Linked DNA regions of Struthio camelus. The main gene of each other region encodes a partner of the protein of the gene in region 2 in a complex. Links are inferred from orthologs where the notes say so. Each region holds a gene or a part of one and is shown on either strand. Other genes may lie near its edges.

Region 1 (8,031 bases), on a different chromosome or scaffold from region 2:
GTTTGCAGAGCACCAGGACCCGTTATCAGGTGCCTCCAAGGGCCAAGAACATGAGCGATGCCCGCGAGGGCCTGCATCCATCGTGTGCCACCGGGGTGGCCACGCATGAAGGATTTCTGAGCCCAGATGAGGGGATTTCCTCTGCTTGGAGCGCGTTTCCCGGGAGGCTGCAGGACCGCTCCCGGCAGAGGGAGCTCCGTGCTCGGCCAGAGCATGGCCCGGGCCCCGCTGCACCTGAGAGGCCGCGGGACTGGCTCCCCCCAGCTCTAGCTGCGGTGCCACCATTAAAGCTTCGAAAGGCTGCTGCCTGCTGTACTGGCTCGTGTCTTGCAGACTGCAGAGGAGCCCGAGGGCTGGGGTATGGCACGACCCAGGGGGATGTGGAGCAGCCGTGTGTGGCTCCGGTCCCTGTTCCGGGCCAGGCTGCTTCCCCTCTGCCCTGTAGCACAGGAGCTAGGAAGAGAGATGGTCCTGGAGGGCTGGGCGGCGGGGATGTGTGTGCAGCGGTGTTTGGGTTAGGGCAGCCCGTGCCAGCGCTGGGGACCTGGCGGGTGTGCAACCTGCCGCGCAGCTACTTCTGCATTGAAGCAACTGGGGTTTTAGATGTTCTTCTGATCCCAGCGAGGGACTTTCCCTTATGGGAGCAGTGGCTGCAGCGGCCCCGCCGTACCCTTGGGGCGCTCCCCAGCCATCTTGCCAGATGCTTTTAGCCTTTTGCTGACCCCCTTGGTCGGACTGCTTGGAAAGGGGGCCGTGTTGGGGGAGAGCTGGCAGCGAGCGCGACGCCCCAGCCTGGAGGAGTGGGGAGGGTTCGTCTGAGCCAAGCCCAGGCCTGGGGCCTCCGCGTCCCGACAGCGGGCACCCCGAGGGACGTGGCTCTGCCTGTGCCCCAGCCTCCCCGCTGCTGCAAAGCATGAGGCAGCAAGGGCCGAGCACGGGACGGCCTTAACTGAGAGCCCAGCCAGGGACTCGGGTCTCTGTGTGATCCGGAAGCCGCCCCGTCCTGGCTGGCTCTGGAGCATCCCGGGTATGGCGGATCGTTGCATGCGGGCGCTCGCTCCTTCCTTGGCTTTGTAGCCCCTCTCGTGCCCGCGTGCACCCTCGCGCCGAGCACTGGCTTGTCCCGCCGTAACGGTGGCGGATGCTCCGGCGGCACCGAGCCGATTCCTTCCCCCCCCGGAGCAGCCCTGGCGGGAAGGCAAAGCCGGGCTCCCCCAGGGAGAGGTCGACTGGATTCTGCTGCCGCGGTTTTCGCCCGCGGGGAGGCCGGCTGCATTGCCGTCTCGCCTCGGCGGTGCTTCTGGGAGGCCGGAGGTGCTGGGGCCGGGTGGGCGGAGGCCTCGGCCGTGGCCGGGGTGGGATTGCCGTGTTTATGCCACCGAAGTCCGCTTCGGGGTCAAAGCGGAGGCCGCCGCTAATCCGGCCCCGCGTAGCCTGAGGTGCTGGCGGGAGCGAGGGAGCTCTCGCTCTGCAGAGGCTCGAGGCCCTGCGCCGCGGTGAGGGCCAGGAGGGCTTCCCGGCTCCTTACAGCCGTGCCTAAGGACGTTCGTCCCAGCGCGTCCTCCGCCTGTCCCTCTCCCTGCCCCGCCGGGCACGGGGGCGAGGGGCTCTGCCTTGCAGCGGCCGGAGGAGAGCGCCTTGCAGGGAGCGCGGGCGGATGTCCCCGACGCCTGCCTGCCCTGCTCTTGGCGCGTCCCCTCGCCGCCCGCCGCGAGCAGGGGAAAAGCAGAGCAGGAAGAGCCGCTTGCTCGGACAGGCTGCAGCGAGCGGGCGAGATGCCGGGGCGGTTCGACGGCAGCGGCCCGTCGTCTCCCCCCCCCACCCCAGGGTGGCTCTGCTCCCGAAACGCAAGCAGCTCGGGCTCGGGAGCGAACGGCAGCCATCGCCGGGCGGCGGGATGCCTGGGGGACGGCGGCACCGCGCTCGGCACGGGCTGCCGGCAGCGAGCGGCACCGCCGCCGCGGGCCCAGCCCCGAAGCGGCACCGCTGCCTCCCTGCTCCTCCCTGAAAAAAAGCCGCGTTGCACCGAAGCCCGCTGCCCGGCGGAGCGGGCATCCGAGCGCGCGAGGGCCCGGCCTCGCTCTCTGTCCCCTGGAACGGGCCGCGTTGTCCTGGCTGCTCCCCTGGTCTCGCTCTGCCGCACGTCCCGCCGTTAGATGGCAGCACGGGCGGGCCGGTCCCCGGCCGGGTGCCAAATTTGGACTGCACGGAGCTAAGCGATGCCGAAATGCTTCGGCTTTCGGGGTGCCGGGGAGGTCGGGCCGCCTCTCGGCGGGGCGCTCCCTCCAGCCTCTCGCCCCTGCTCGCGGCTCCATCGCTCTGGCCTTGCCACGGCCGGGAGCACCGGGGCGGCGCGGCTCCGCCGAGGGACCCCATCCCGCGCTGCCCGGCCTTGCCGGGGCCCCCTCGGGTTTTGGGCCGGGAGGTTGGTTCAAGACGAGCGTGCTGAAGAACAGCCCGGCCGGGTGCTCTCGGGGTTAAAAGCTCGCAAAATCCTCGCTGGGGCCGTGCTTGCGGCGGCTGCGGCTTGCCTCGCGGGCCGGGCAGAAGGGCTGCCGGTGTTTCTTGCGCAGGCTGGGCAGCGAGAGCGCTCGAGCGCGCAGAAGGTTTTCGCGCCTGTTTAAAGCCGCGAGCACACGGGTCTCCTTCGGGCTTCTGCAAACGGGCCGTGATTAATAAACCGCCGCGGCGCAGCGCGGGGCCGCGTTTCTTTATTTATTTAAAGCTCCGCACGACGCTGCGTCCGTCTGCACGGAGATTACCGGTTACTAGCTGCTAATTGAATGGCATTTCTGCACAGCTCTCCGCTTTCATCTTCTTCGCGGGGTTTTTTCCCTCTTTCTTCATTGCTTGGTGGCGCCTGGCCCAAGAAGGAGATTTTTTTTTCCCTCCTTCCACCAGCTCTGGAGCTCCTGACCGCCCCGGTACCCCGGGATCCTACGGCCGGCCGCAGGGACCCCGCGGGCCGGCAGGCACCCGCGTCGGCCACCCGTCGCGTCCAGCCGCCCAGGGTGCTTTCTCAAGGGACGGTTTTGCAGGGGCGCGAAGCCCGGCCTCGCTGGCAGCGGCGCGGGGGCAGCGGCGCTGGCTGGGGGCGCGCGCGGAGCTGCGGCAGCAGCTGGCAGCGCCTCGGCGCCCGCGGCGCAGCCGAGCGCCTTCCCGGCCGCGCGTGGCAGATGGCATCCCGCCGTCCGCGGAGGAGACGGCTGCGGCCCCCGGGGCAGCCGAGGGGCGTGCGGAGCGGCCCACCGGCCCCACGGCTCCCGGCGCCCCTCGGCTCGCCGAGGCGGAGGGCTGGGGCTGGCAACGCGCCTGCAGGATGAAGAATGACTTGAAAAGGGAAAAGCGAGCGGAAAGAAAGCAGCGAAGAGCTGGCGGAGGAGGGAGCAGGCAGGGAGCAGCCCGTGCCGCAGAGGGTGTCTCCGCGGGCCGGCGTGCGCGCCGGCCCCGTGTTTCGTGGCACGCACGTGTCTGGGTGCGGATTCGGGCGCGGGTCTGTCGGCGAGGGGTGCCGCATGCCACGTGTAGCGGTGCTGGGGAGCGGAGCGGGTGTGCAGGGGGCGAGGGGCCGCGCAGCGACGCGGCTGCCCCACGCTGCCGGCGGCGTGCACGGGCGGGCTGCAGCACCGGGGCGCCCTCGCGCCCCCCAAGGCGAGGGTGTGCGGGAGCGAGGCTGCGCCCGGGGCGGGAGGAAGCGCGTGTGCGTCGCTGTGTGCCCTTGGGGGGTGTGCGGGGGGAGCGGGGCTGCAGGAGAACTGTGTGCCTAGGCGTGCGTGTGCAGGTGTGAGGTGTGGGGTATTGCGCGCGCGTGTGTGTGTGTGCATGCAGGCATGAAGGGGTGTGTGCGTGCAGGTGTGAGGGGTGCATGTTCAAGTATGAGGCTTGTGCGTGTGCATGCTGGTGCGAGAGGATATTTGTGTGCATTCCCACAGGTCTGAGGAAGTGTGTGTGTGTGCACACTAGCACAAGTAAGGGGCAGGGGGTGCATCGGCATTTGCACGCAGATGCAGGGTGATGCGTGTCCATGCAGATATGAGGAGGAGCGCAAGCATGCCCACACGGATGCAGGGGGTATGCACATGCGGACACACAGATGCAGGGCACCCATGCACGCAGATGCAAGGGGATACACACACTTGCACAGAGGCATGGGGAGGACGCACACCCGTGCACGCCAGAGCAGGGAAGAAGCACAGCGACACACACAGGTGCAGGGTTCTGCACACACAAGCACACAGGTGCAGGGGGATGCAGACACATGCACACAGGTGCAGGGAGGGTACACACACAAGCAGATAGGTGCAGAGTGGTGCACATACGCACACAGGTGCAGGAGGATGCACACACAGGTGCACACAGGTGCAGGAGGATGCACACACATGCACACGGATGCAGGGTGGTGCACACACGCACACAGGTGCAGGGTGGGTGCACATACAGGTGCACACAGGTGCAGGGTGGGTGCACACACACACACACAGGTGCAGGAGGATGCACACACATGCACACAGGTGCAGGGTGGTGCACATACAGGTGCACACAGGTGCAGGGTGATGCACACACACGCGCACACGGGTGCAGGGGGAAGCACACACACACGCACACGGGTGCAGGGGGATGCCCATGGCTGCCCACGCATGAAGGAGGGCTGCAGCGGGGAAGCAGAGGCATGCACTCCGGTGAAGGGAGGGACGCACATGCACACACACACAGAGTCCCCCCGCCGCCCCCCCCCCGGTGCAGAGGGATGCACACACAGCCGTGCGGGGACACACGCCCACCCGCGCGGCGGCGCGGCCCCCGCACCCAGCGGCGGGGCGCAGGCGGCGCCGGCAGGTGCGCCCCCCTCCCGCGCCCCGCCCCGGCCCCGGCCCCGGCCCCCCCGCGCCCCGCGGGCCCGGCGGAGGGCGGCGGGCGGCCGGCCGGGCGGGCGGAGGAAAAGGAAGCGGCCCCGGTGCTCCCCGCCCGCCGCGCGCGTCGCCGCAGCTGGGGCGCGGCGGGAGCAGAGCTCGGGCGCGGGGCGCTCCGCTCCGCACCGCTGCGCACCGCTCCGCGCCGCCGGGACCTGCCGCCGCCCCGGAGATGAAGAGAGTTTGCACGCTGCCCCTCTGGCTCTGGCTCGGCTTTGTCTCGGAGGCAGGTGAGCGGCACCGGCCCCCGCGGGGCGCCGGGCGAGGTGGTGCCCCCCTTCCCCCCCCCCTCCCCACCCCGGGCAGGCTGCCGGGCGGCTGCGCCCCTTCTGCCCCGCTGGCCGACGTGGGGCGGCCCCGGCGGGGCTGTGCCGGGAGCCGCCGCTGCCGGGTCTGAGCCCCGACGGGCACCGCCGCTGCCCGCGCCGGCATCGCCCGGCCCCGACGGGGCCGCGCCGCGCACCGGCGCTGCCGCCCCGCTGTCCCCGCTGGGGACGTGCCGCGCCCCGACGGGCACCGCCGCCGCCCGCCCCGCTGTCCCCGGCGGCCGGGATGGGCCGGGCCGGGCCGGGCCGGGAGGGCGCCGTCGCGGTCCCCTCGTCGCCGCCTCTCGCGGGGCCGCGGCGGGGGCTGCGGGCGCGCCGGCGGGGCAGCGCGCAGGCCGGCTCCGCGCTCCGCTCCTTCCCTGCGCAACGCTCCTCCTGCCGTAGCGCTTCTGGGGCGAAAGGGCCTTGGGGCAGAGAGTTGAAGCCGCGGGCCGCGGCGCGGTGCGGATGGACGCCGGAGCGCGGCGGAGAGACGGGGCTGCGACCCAGCCGCCCGGGGCGCGGAGGGCAGGGTGCTGGGCCTGGCGGGGTGCGCGTGGCCAACCGCGTCTGCTTTCCCGGCTGAGCCTCCGCGGCCCCGCGTAGCGCGGCGCTCCGGGCTGTTGCAGCGGGGTGCGCGTTGCTGTGGGTCCGCGGGGGCCCTCCCTTCCTGCGCAGAGCAGGGAGCTGATTTTGGTGCCAGGAGGCTGCAGGGTGGTGAGTGGCGTATCTCGAGGGGTACCAGGCCACCGCTGCCAGCGGAAAGTGGGCACGGAGCAGGCAGGGAGCGACGTGGGGCGCTCGCCACCAGGCAGGAGCCCAGGGAGTGGGCGTGGGGCACCAGCTCCACCGTCTCAGGCTGGGCACGCTCCTGGATGCAACAGCAAAGCGTTGACAGCCCAGATAAGAGCGAGGCTGCCAGAAAAGTTAGTAACGCAGGAAGCTTCCAACATGGGGAGATGAATTTTGGGAGCATAAATAGAATTCGCTGTAACCTCAGCTCGGTGACTCACTGTCACCGGCTGCGTTTGCTGCCGTCGTCAAAGCGAGCTCGCAGGAGGGCTGCAGGTCCAACCCGTCCCTGCTGCGAAGGGTACGGAGGTGTGTTATGGGGAGCATCGCTGGCAGAGGGCACTGCCAGGGCAGGACCACGGGGAGGGCACCACACGGAGAGCTTGCACTGTCCCAAATGCTGCCAATTTGCCTTGTGTCCTGGACTCGCCAGGCTGTTGGACCTCAAGGGGAGCTCCGGGAGGCAGGGTAGAAAGGGACTTGCTGCTGGTGGCATTGCGAAGAGAGCTGCAGCTGTTCAAAGCCCTTTTGTTAGCAATTTGTAAAGCATCTTGTAGCTGTTCCTCAGGTTCTTTCATCTCCCGGAGGTGCTGGGAGCTTTGCCTTGGGGATACTCTGACCAGCGCGCTGCTGCGTGATGTGTGGGCCTAATCAGCTAAGGGCTGTGCAGAGCTTTGAAGCTCTCCAGCGCTGCCTGATTAGTGCCACAAGGAAGGTTGACACAGAGCTCGACTGTGGGACCCAATGTCTCGTGCACAAAGCACCCACAAATTCTTCAGTGCATCAAATCCCCATTTAACGTCTTTACAGCTAGGTGCAAATACTTGCTCTCCCTGGAAGCAGGGACATGGGTATGAGATTGGTCCACCCAGAAGGTAAGAAGGATCTTGAGACTGTGAAAGATTTCTTCTGCTCTCACTCTGGTTCCTGTGTCCTGGGTATTGCTGCACCCCATCGCTGGGCTAAATGGGCCATCGCGGATTGGGGGTGTCTGCCTCTTTCTGAGAGCGCGTGGCCTTTCGCTCTGTCCCGGCTTGGAGGTTCTCTGCAGGGCGCGTGGTGGACGCGGGCTGCTGCCCTCTGCCTGGATGGAGCAGCCGCGGTGCTGCCCTGCGCGCGCACCATGGCGGGGAGCAGACGGGGTGCGTCTCGGGGTGGCCCTTTGCGGACGGCGCGTGGGAGCGTGCGCTCCCTGCCCGGCTCTTGCAGCGGCGGTGAGCAGCCACGCTCTGCGCCAGGACGAGAGCTCACCGCCCCGCAGCCGAGCAACGTCGGCGGGGGACCCCAGCTTGCCGCTTTGAACATCATCTCTCAGAAGGGCCCGTGCCTGTGTAGGACGCGGGCCGACTGCGTTGGCTGAAGCCGCGTACCCTCCTCGAAGAGCGCGCAGACCTCCCCCCGTCCGGGTGCTGCTCGGACGGTGCCAGCAGCAACATTTGGGTTTGCAGCTGCGATTTGAAGCAGTTGCTTTATTGCAAGTAATAAACAGGGGCCATTTCGGCAACACCCTTTCGTGAGCGCGCAACCAACCCCACTCTGGTTTAATCCAGCCACTTGTTAGTGCTGAACCAGATCCAGGGCCGGGGAGGCGGGCGATGGGGGGGCTGCGGGGCCGCAGCTCGCGAGCGCTGCTGCGGGGCTCCCGGCGAGGGGGCGGCCGGAGCCCCCGTGCCCTGCTGTCTGTTTAAGGAGAAATTCAGATGAATGGGCTGCAATTACCACCCTGGGATTTGGCTCGGGCACGCGAGCCAGCGGCTCCGTGCCTGCAAAAACAGCCACGAGGATGTTTGTTGCCGAGCTGGAGTTGACGTCTGGCCGGGGGACACACCCCCAGCGGCACAATGTCCCCGGGGCAGCGCGGGACGGGGACGGACCCATCCCGGCCAGGAGGGGGGCTACCTCCGGCATCGCCCACCCCGCTCCGCCAGCCCGCCGAGGGCTCTGGCACGCGTGCCGCCGCGCGCGCGGCATCGCCGCCCCCGGGGGGGCGTCTCTGGACCCCGCGGTCGGGCCGCCCGGCGCCC
Region 2 (7,550 bases):
AAGAATACTGCTGGCAAGTAATGTATCATGATGAGAGTTTGTACGCATAATGGTCGTGTGCTGTTAAATCCTAATGTTTTGTAGAATCCAAATTTATTTATATAGTGATGTGACTTCAATTGTAGACAGTTTAGATTGCACACAGCTTTCACTTAAGAGGCAGTGTAAACTTATGATCAGTCATTTTATTGTTTATAGTCAGAGGTTATAACTATGAACAGCATTGCTACATGGAGAGATTAATTACTTTATATGAAGTTAAATCAATACTCTCTGCATACCAGTTCTTGTGTGAGACATTGCATCACGAGAGGAAAAAACTATAGTGAAGAGAAAGATCCTTATGTAAGACAGCTGGATAAAATGTGTGCTAGTGCTTTCTCCATTCAAGTTTAGAGCAACTTTAGAGATACAGTTTACTTTGGAGAATTCAAAAACTTTCCTTGAGATGCTGCCTGGTGCTGCCCATTTTTTGATTCTACCAACCCCCCCTTAAGACAGCGAGGATTGCAGGGATTTTATGCTAATGCAGTTGTCTAGTCTGTATCACTGGGGGATTCTAATGTCACGTGCCAACAGTCTTGATTTTAAAAGTTTAGAAAGACGATCCCTGAGAACAAAGAAAGCCCAATAATCCCATAAGCCCTGAATATCAACCACTATCAAAGGGCTGAAGAATAAGGATTCTTGTCTTATTAATTAATTTTCAAGAGTCACAAATTTTTACACCAAAAGAAAGCAAAATTCCCAGATAATAAAAAAATGCAAGTTATTAGGCTAAGCATTGCAGAAAATGATTTTGCAGCAATGACATCTTTATTCATTGAATTAAAGTTATTCATCTTGGCAATACGTTTAGGGCAAATGAATGGATAAAGCTACATTTCGGAGTCCTTGGCTGAGGGTTTGGCAAAGAACAGTTTCCCATGGGTTATGCTTTACAGAGAAGACGCCTGATTGAAGTCAGGGGAAAGATTTTGGTTCTTTCAGGTGACTTTCAAGCCACCATGCTTAAATCCTTCTAGGATCATACAAGAAAATACTAATATGGGCCCGTATAAAAAAATTTGTACTTTTAAATTTGTTTGTGAGAAGTGAGGAAGGCCATTATGCATACAATTAGTAAAACTGCAGTACTCCTAAGTGTTTACTGTAAATCATATGCATGTTTTATATATGCAAGAGAGTTTGAGGAAAGAAGCAGACTACAACCTGAAATCCACTGTGTCATTTTTCAGTAGCCTTCCATAGGACTTAAAGTCGGTAAAAGGCATCAAGCAATATGGTAAGAAATGTGTAGCAACAGTTGAGACTAAAAGATTCAATGGGCAGGAGATTCACTAGTGATTCTGCTGTTTCAGTAGTCTGATACTGAATCTGAAATGGTTTTTCGTTGTTGTTCTAGATATATAATTAAGCTTTTTTGTAGTATCTTGTGTAAGGCTTTGATAGTTAGGATGCTGATTGGTATCCAAACACTTTTTTCATGCTTGTAAGCATTGTAGGAAATATGGGAGAGTTGTGTGTTTAGCAGGACTGGGAGCTGAGGTTTACAAGAGTACCTTCATCTTTTGGAATGACTCCAGAACGGAGCTTCCATGTTTGTTTGAGTTGCAGCACTTAAGAACAACAATGTCCATCTTTTAAATGTTACATTAAATATAAATCCTTCTGAAACTCACCATTAAGCACTGACAACTTTGTGTTAAAACAAAAGCAAACCAGGACTATTTGTCTTTTTTTTAACTCTTAAACATGCCTTTATATGTCTATTTAAGGAGAAAATGCAAATGTTTTGAATCAAACACAAAACTATGACTAGCTAAAGTTTAAATATAAGGAGAACTGAAACGGCAAAAGAAAACATTCAACAGCTTGGTTTTTTTAGCCTTGAAAAGTCTAAAATAAGCAAACTCTACAACAAGCAAACAGAGCAAATTGCTATAGCATGCTACTGGTTTTTTTTTTTTTTTTTTTTTTGCTGCTATTGACACTTTTTAATCCCCCAGTCTCAGCTCACGTTTCTTACAGTGGCTCCTCTCTGAGTTTTCCTACTGCTAATGATTACAGATAGAAAACAGTTATTGAAACACATCCACATTTGAGAGGCAGGATGTATTAAACAGGAGCGTATCAGGTATGTCTAGACTCAGAGAGGAATGTGCTTGACAGATGTATATTACACCAACTTAATTAAGGGGGAGTCTGGATTTTTTAATGTAATTTTAAAACCACATTGAGAGAATTCATTTGAAGGAGTCATAGAGCTTACATCAAGGATTTCCTTTGTTTGTCAACAGTAGCTATCATTGCCTTTAAAACATAACATGGCCAGACCTAGAACTGTATTTCTGCACTATTAAGGATATCTCTTTTCTCATTTGTATTTAGAAGATCAGTTCATTGCCAGTGTATTAATTTCACTTAAAACTTTAAATTAGTTACCTTGTAGGCCTTATCTGGGTATTTTCATATAAATAATATTATAATGTTTTCTGCTTAATTTGAAGACGAGAAAAGGAATACCAACTGCTTGGTGATGAGGAACGGAGAAAAGATTTTAAATCGGTAAACATTTAAATTGGCCGTCTTTTATGGGACTGAGAAAAATGCAGCCTGAAATGAGGAAAACCTTAAAATGTTACCCCTTAGCCAAAGGTATAGTCACTCCTTTGCAGAGAAAGTATACAGTAAGTGAATAGGCTGAAATCTAGAAACCTTATGATCAGATTGTGACTTGAGGTGCTATGATTGCGATTACAAGCTTTCAATTATGACACTTTAAACTTGATATACAAGTATACAAGAGTAGTCAGTGAAAGTGCTTTCTTGCATGAAAATATTTGACTCCATGATGGAAGTTCTATGAATTGGGGAAGGAAAAGGACAGAATGAGAACGTAAAGAGAACTGGGGAAACGATGAAGCCAGCTGATGCTATGATGGCACAGCATGAACAGTGTTTCATCTTGTTTCGTGATCTAGTTACTGAGAGATGCTCTCTGCGTGACACTTGGCTATTGAAATGGATATTGTCAGGTCAGTTTTATTAACATGCTGCAAAATACCTCTGTTTCTGCAGTAGTCTGTGATGCTTCTGAGAGTTTTTGGCATGTTTGAACTCAAACCAGTGATGCTGTGTTCCTGGCTTAGATGAGTTTTGCATCCTGGAGCGTGCTGGCTGGCTGGCTTCAATCCTATACTTTGATCTGCAGTGTTGTAAGGCTCCACTGAAGGACAATAAGCTTTGTAATTTATTTATGTTTTATATCTTTATAGCTGTTCTGATTAACCTCTACCACTGTCTTCATTTTGCTGCTTTACTCTCCTGTGAAGATATTGAAAAAATGTTAGTGCTTTAATAATTGTGTTAAAATGTAGCTCTATTTAAATTTTAGATTTTTTTTCAGATTGTAAATGAAGTGATTGTTTCGTAGTATCCACATAGTTTATTAGCTGATCTACCACCTTAAGACTGATAAAGAATAGAGTAGAAAGAATAGAAGGTACCTAAAGACCTGATGGAGAGATACCTTCATGTATAACCTTTTGAATGTCATTCCCTAAGTAGTTCCATAATGGGATTACTCCAGAAATAAGAATATTAGAATAGGAGTAGAGAGCCAGGATCCAGCCAAGGCAGTCAGAAATCTGTTCTCTTACAATTCTCTTACCAAAAGAAGTATAAGTGTGATGCAGAATAATTTGAAAAGCTTTTAAAATTTTTGCACGAGTTTCAGAAACGCTGTTCACATCAAACAAAAATAATAATATACAGAATATAACTCCTCCTTTCACAGCGCTGGGATTTGATCAGGCTGTACTTTGTTACTGCAATATGCAGTTCTCCACTTGTTGTACTTAAAAGGAAAAAAGTAACATCAACAAAGAAAAAACTCAAGCCTTATTTTTAATCATAGTGTCTCTGAAAAACATATTTATGCTGTTTTATGTAGGGCTCTGAACTGGGGGAACTTCTGTTCAAAGATGGCTCCAGACTCTCATTGACGGGAATACTGCAGATAAATAAGGTACTGTTCAGGGTCTGTTTCTAACATGCCGAAATCTTTTTCTCCCTCCAGTTAAAAAAGCTGCGTGCCTGTTACACTCTCGCAGATGGAGCAGCCAATATTGCTCAACAAGTAACCGATCAGGACTAAACAGAAATTTTCTTGCAAGATTGCAGACGTGCTGGGTGCGCGGTTTAACCAACCGCATGCGGTGGCGGAACCGCTGGGTGAAACGGCGACGAACTTTGCTTTCCCCTCGGGGCTGGGACCTAGAGGGCGGTAGGCTTTGGCGGATCCGCCGGCGGGAGGAGGAGGAGGCGGAGGCGGAGGCAGGCCGGCCGACCGGCCGGCCGCCCCCTCTCGCCGCGCAGAGGCGCAGGCAGAGGGCGCTTTCGCCATGCGCGGCCCCCGCGGCCGCCGCGCAGCCCCGGGCGCCGCGCACCCCCCGGCCGCGCTGCCGCTGACAGGCGTCCGGCGAGCCCTCCGCGGCGGCGGACGGCGGGCGCCCCTCTGCGCACCCCTCGGCCTCCGCCGCGGCGCGGCCCGCGCGGGCAGGGGCTGCGCGGGGAGGCGGGAGCTCCCCAGGGGTGAGCGTCCGCTCGCTCCCGCTCTGCCTCTCTCTCTCTGCCTCCTTCCCTTCCCTTCCCTTCCTTCCCTCCTCCTCCTCCTCCTCTCTGCGCTTTCCACCTCCCCTGCTCCTGAGTGAGCGCAGCCTCGGATGTCCGGTTTCCTGGTGGGTTTTTTACCTGGCAAACTCCGGATAACTTTGGTGAGAATTTGCAAAGCGGCTGGGAAAGTTGGGAACTCCCCTGCAGGCGTCTAGGAGCTGCTGCTACTGCATCTTCTCCATCCCACGGATTTTACTGCCTTGGATATTGCGAGGAGAGGGAGGGGGGAGACGGCAGCAAAAGAAGGGGGAGAGGAAGAGAAGGAGCCTCCTAATTTCGCCTGCATTCCTCCAAGTGCCCCGTGGCTCCGCGGCGCGCCCGCCCTGCCATCTTTGCACAATGCACTTGCTGGAGGTGCTCTCCCTGGGTTGCTGCCTGGCTGCCGGCGCCGTGCTCCTGGGACCCCGGCAGCCGGCCGCCGCCGCCGCCTACGAGTCCGGCCAGGGGTACTACGAGGAGGAGCCCGACGCGGGGGAGGCGAAGGTACGTCCGTGCCCCCGCAGCAGATGCGAGCTGCCTTCTGCAGGCATGCGCCTGAGAGTGCGCTCGGACGGGCTGCTTGGAAATCCCGCGGAGGAAAATATTTGGGAGAAGCCTTTTGAAATGGGAGCTCTTCCAAAACCCGGGGTGGGGGTTGGGGGGATTTGTTTAAGCCAAAAAAAAAAAAGAAAAAGAAAAAAAAGTTTCTGGGTTTTTTTCAGGGTTGCTGGAAGGGTGGTTGCAGAGGGAAGAACCGTGTTGACAAAGAAACGCAAAACACCTGATCAGCAAAGGCAGCCCGAGGGCTGTGCCCCTGCCGCGGTCCTTGGTGCTGCGTGGCCGTGGCCGGGGGCTGTCCCGCGGGGAGAGGTCGCGGCCGCGGCCCCGCCGGCCGCCGCTCGGCCCGGAGGCGGCAGCGACCCGCGGCTTCGGCTGTCGCTTGCCTCGGCGCTGGCAGCCGGAGTGCTCCCCGGCCGGCGGGTCCCGGCGGCCCTGGAGGCTTCTTCAGCGAGGGCAGGGCTGCGGGGGGCCGGGGGGCGCCGGCGGCTTTGTGCGGGTGCCCGCGACGGGCTCGGCGGGGCAGAGCGGGGAGCTAGCTGCTGGAGGAAGGGCTGAGCACCGCTTCGAGCAGCAGCTGTGCATAGGAATGAAGTAGCGAGGGAAACGTGTGGGGGACGATGACAACAAAAACTGAGACTTTCCATTTGTTGAAAAGTCTCTTGGAGTTATTGAAACTGCAGTGACCTACTGCTGCGTGACAGAGTTTATAGAAGGTGTAACTTGACACTTGGATTTGAAAACTGTCCAGGCGTACAGTACAGTTAAGGTTCTACATACGTTCTCAAGTTCCGATTGTATGTTAATTTTTATTTCTGTTGGAAGTTTCATAACTTAGAATTCAAGTACCTTTCAGCAAACTTTGTGGTTTTGCAGTTCCCAGTACGCTGATGCATGAAAAGGATGTGTAGTATATACTTGTGTAAGCAGGCGATGTTATTAGAAAGACCTTTGATGTCCGAGTTCGTAACAAGTCTTACCCTGATGTAGATGTTCTTAAGATTCGCAGCATACTTGTCAAAAGCAATGGTGAGTCAGCTCATTCATTATCCACTGAAGTATGGAGGAAAAAAAGTACAAAATGTGTGAATTACGAGTTCAGCTGCTATTCTGCACTTTTTTGTTTTTTAGATTTACAGTGATATTTTTAATCTGGTTAATGAAATAAGTTTAATATACTAATGCTGTTTGCTTTACTGATTGAAAGTTTAGGAAAGTTTACTGTAATTGGATGGGAAGTCAGACTCAGGTTCTGATAATGTGCATTAGCTGTACTTATTTTGGATATTCAAGCTGTTGTAGACCATGTGTAGCTCACAGAATTCATGCTTTTCCAATAATACTCTAAATAGAAAAGGTTACTGAGGATATTGTACTCCCTCTTCAGACATTTCAATTAGAGCCTGAATGCTTATATATTAACATCCTTAATGCTCTAAGTGATTATATTGCTTGAATGCTTATCAAGTATTTTGCAAATCTAAATATTTAAAAATAGGGACACAAAATCAGTCTGGCTGGTCACTTATTTTATCTTATCATTCACTAAGTTTTGCATTGTTATAAATAGTCTAAATAATTTTAAAAAAACATAAAAAACAAAGAAACTCCAGCTTATGATAGTGAGCCAGTTATTTCCTGAGTGAAATTGATTTTTGTATTGTAAACCCTCAGAACAGCCTGTGCTGAAAAGGTAGAAGGAATCAAAACTGGAGCACAGTGCATACTTTGTGCGTTTAAACTACTGAGGTAGAACAGCTGATAGTAAAGATACCCTCCTAAGTGATGCTGTACGTTTCCATGCACATGCTGTAGATAGTTACCCTGCTTCTTGAAACCTCTAAATCTTTAGGAGCTACCACTGAAGTGTGTTTTGTAGAAGTGCAAGTGTTCCCTGGAAAAAGGGGAACCGTGAGCAGAGCGAAGGAAAAAGGTCAGCAGCCTGGGAAGTGAGTGGGATAGCATATGTTAAACAATTATATTAACAAAGAAAATGATTTTGTGCCTGACTAGTGGTGAACAGTAATATGAGATTCAGCGTCTGAGCAGCCTTGGTGACGTTGGAAGTCTTAGTTGTGAGTTACCCTGATTTTTTTCTGGAACTGTTTGAGTGAGCGTGTATTGTGCGTGTTTGTCCCTGGGATGAGAGACTATTGAGATGAATGCCTGGAGTAATTAGAAAGGATTAAATAAGTAAACTGTAAGTAATTAGTTCAAGGAAAATGTGATTATACTGTCAGTAAAAAGTCATTTACTTGAACTTTCTTAAATCAAATGAAAAATGCGTGCTGGCTTGTGTTTGTAGATTTTTACGGTTTCCCTGTTTTCACCTTCCA

What was found. The genes of interacting proteins can lie anywhere in the genome.
Region 1: the proteins of VEGFC (region 2) and FLT4 are in contact, whole or in part, in a crystal structure (PDB 4BSK), measured with the Homo sapiens proteins. The link is inferred for Struthio camelus from reciprocal best matches to the Homo sapiens genes VEGFC and FLT4. Residues at the interface, in NP_005420.1 of Homo sapiens: Leu119, Asp123, Trp126, Gln130, Asn167, Arg210; in NP_891555.2 of Homo sapiens: Gln172, His199, Asp200, Ala201, Leu202, Tyr203.

Annotation. Positions count from the first base shown.
Region 1 is NC_090954.1:7,201,652-7,209,682, reverse strand, and holds the start of FLT4 (vascular endothelial growth factor receptor 3), read left to right. Parts: upstream 1-4,990; 5' UTR 4,991-5,082; coding exon 5,083-5,140; intron 5,141-8,031. UniProt on the Homo sapiens protein: Tyrosine-protein kinase that acts as a cell-surface receptor for VEGFC and VEGFD, and plays an essential role in adult lymphangiogenesis and in the development of the vascular network and the cardiovascular system during embryonic development.
Region 2 is NC_090945.1:47,927,080-47,934,629, reverse strand, and holds the start of VEGFC (vascular endothelial growth factor C), read left to right. Parts: upstream 1-4,465; 5' UTR 4,466-4,727; coding exon of another isoform or gene 4,728-4,778; 5' UTR 4,779-5,016; coding exon 5,017-5,160; intron 5,161-6,090; exon of another isoform or gene 6,091-6,204; coding exon of another isoform or gene 6,205-6,243; intron 6,244-6,263; exon of another isoform or gene 6,264-7,550. UniProt on the Homo sapiens protein: Growth factor active in angiogenesis, and endothelial cell growth, stimulating their proliferation and migration and also has effects on the permeability of blood vessels.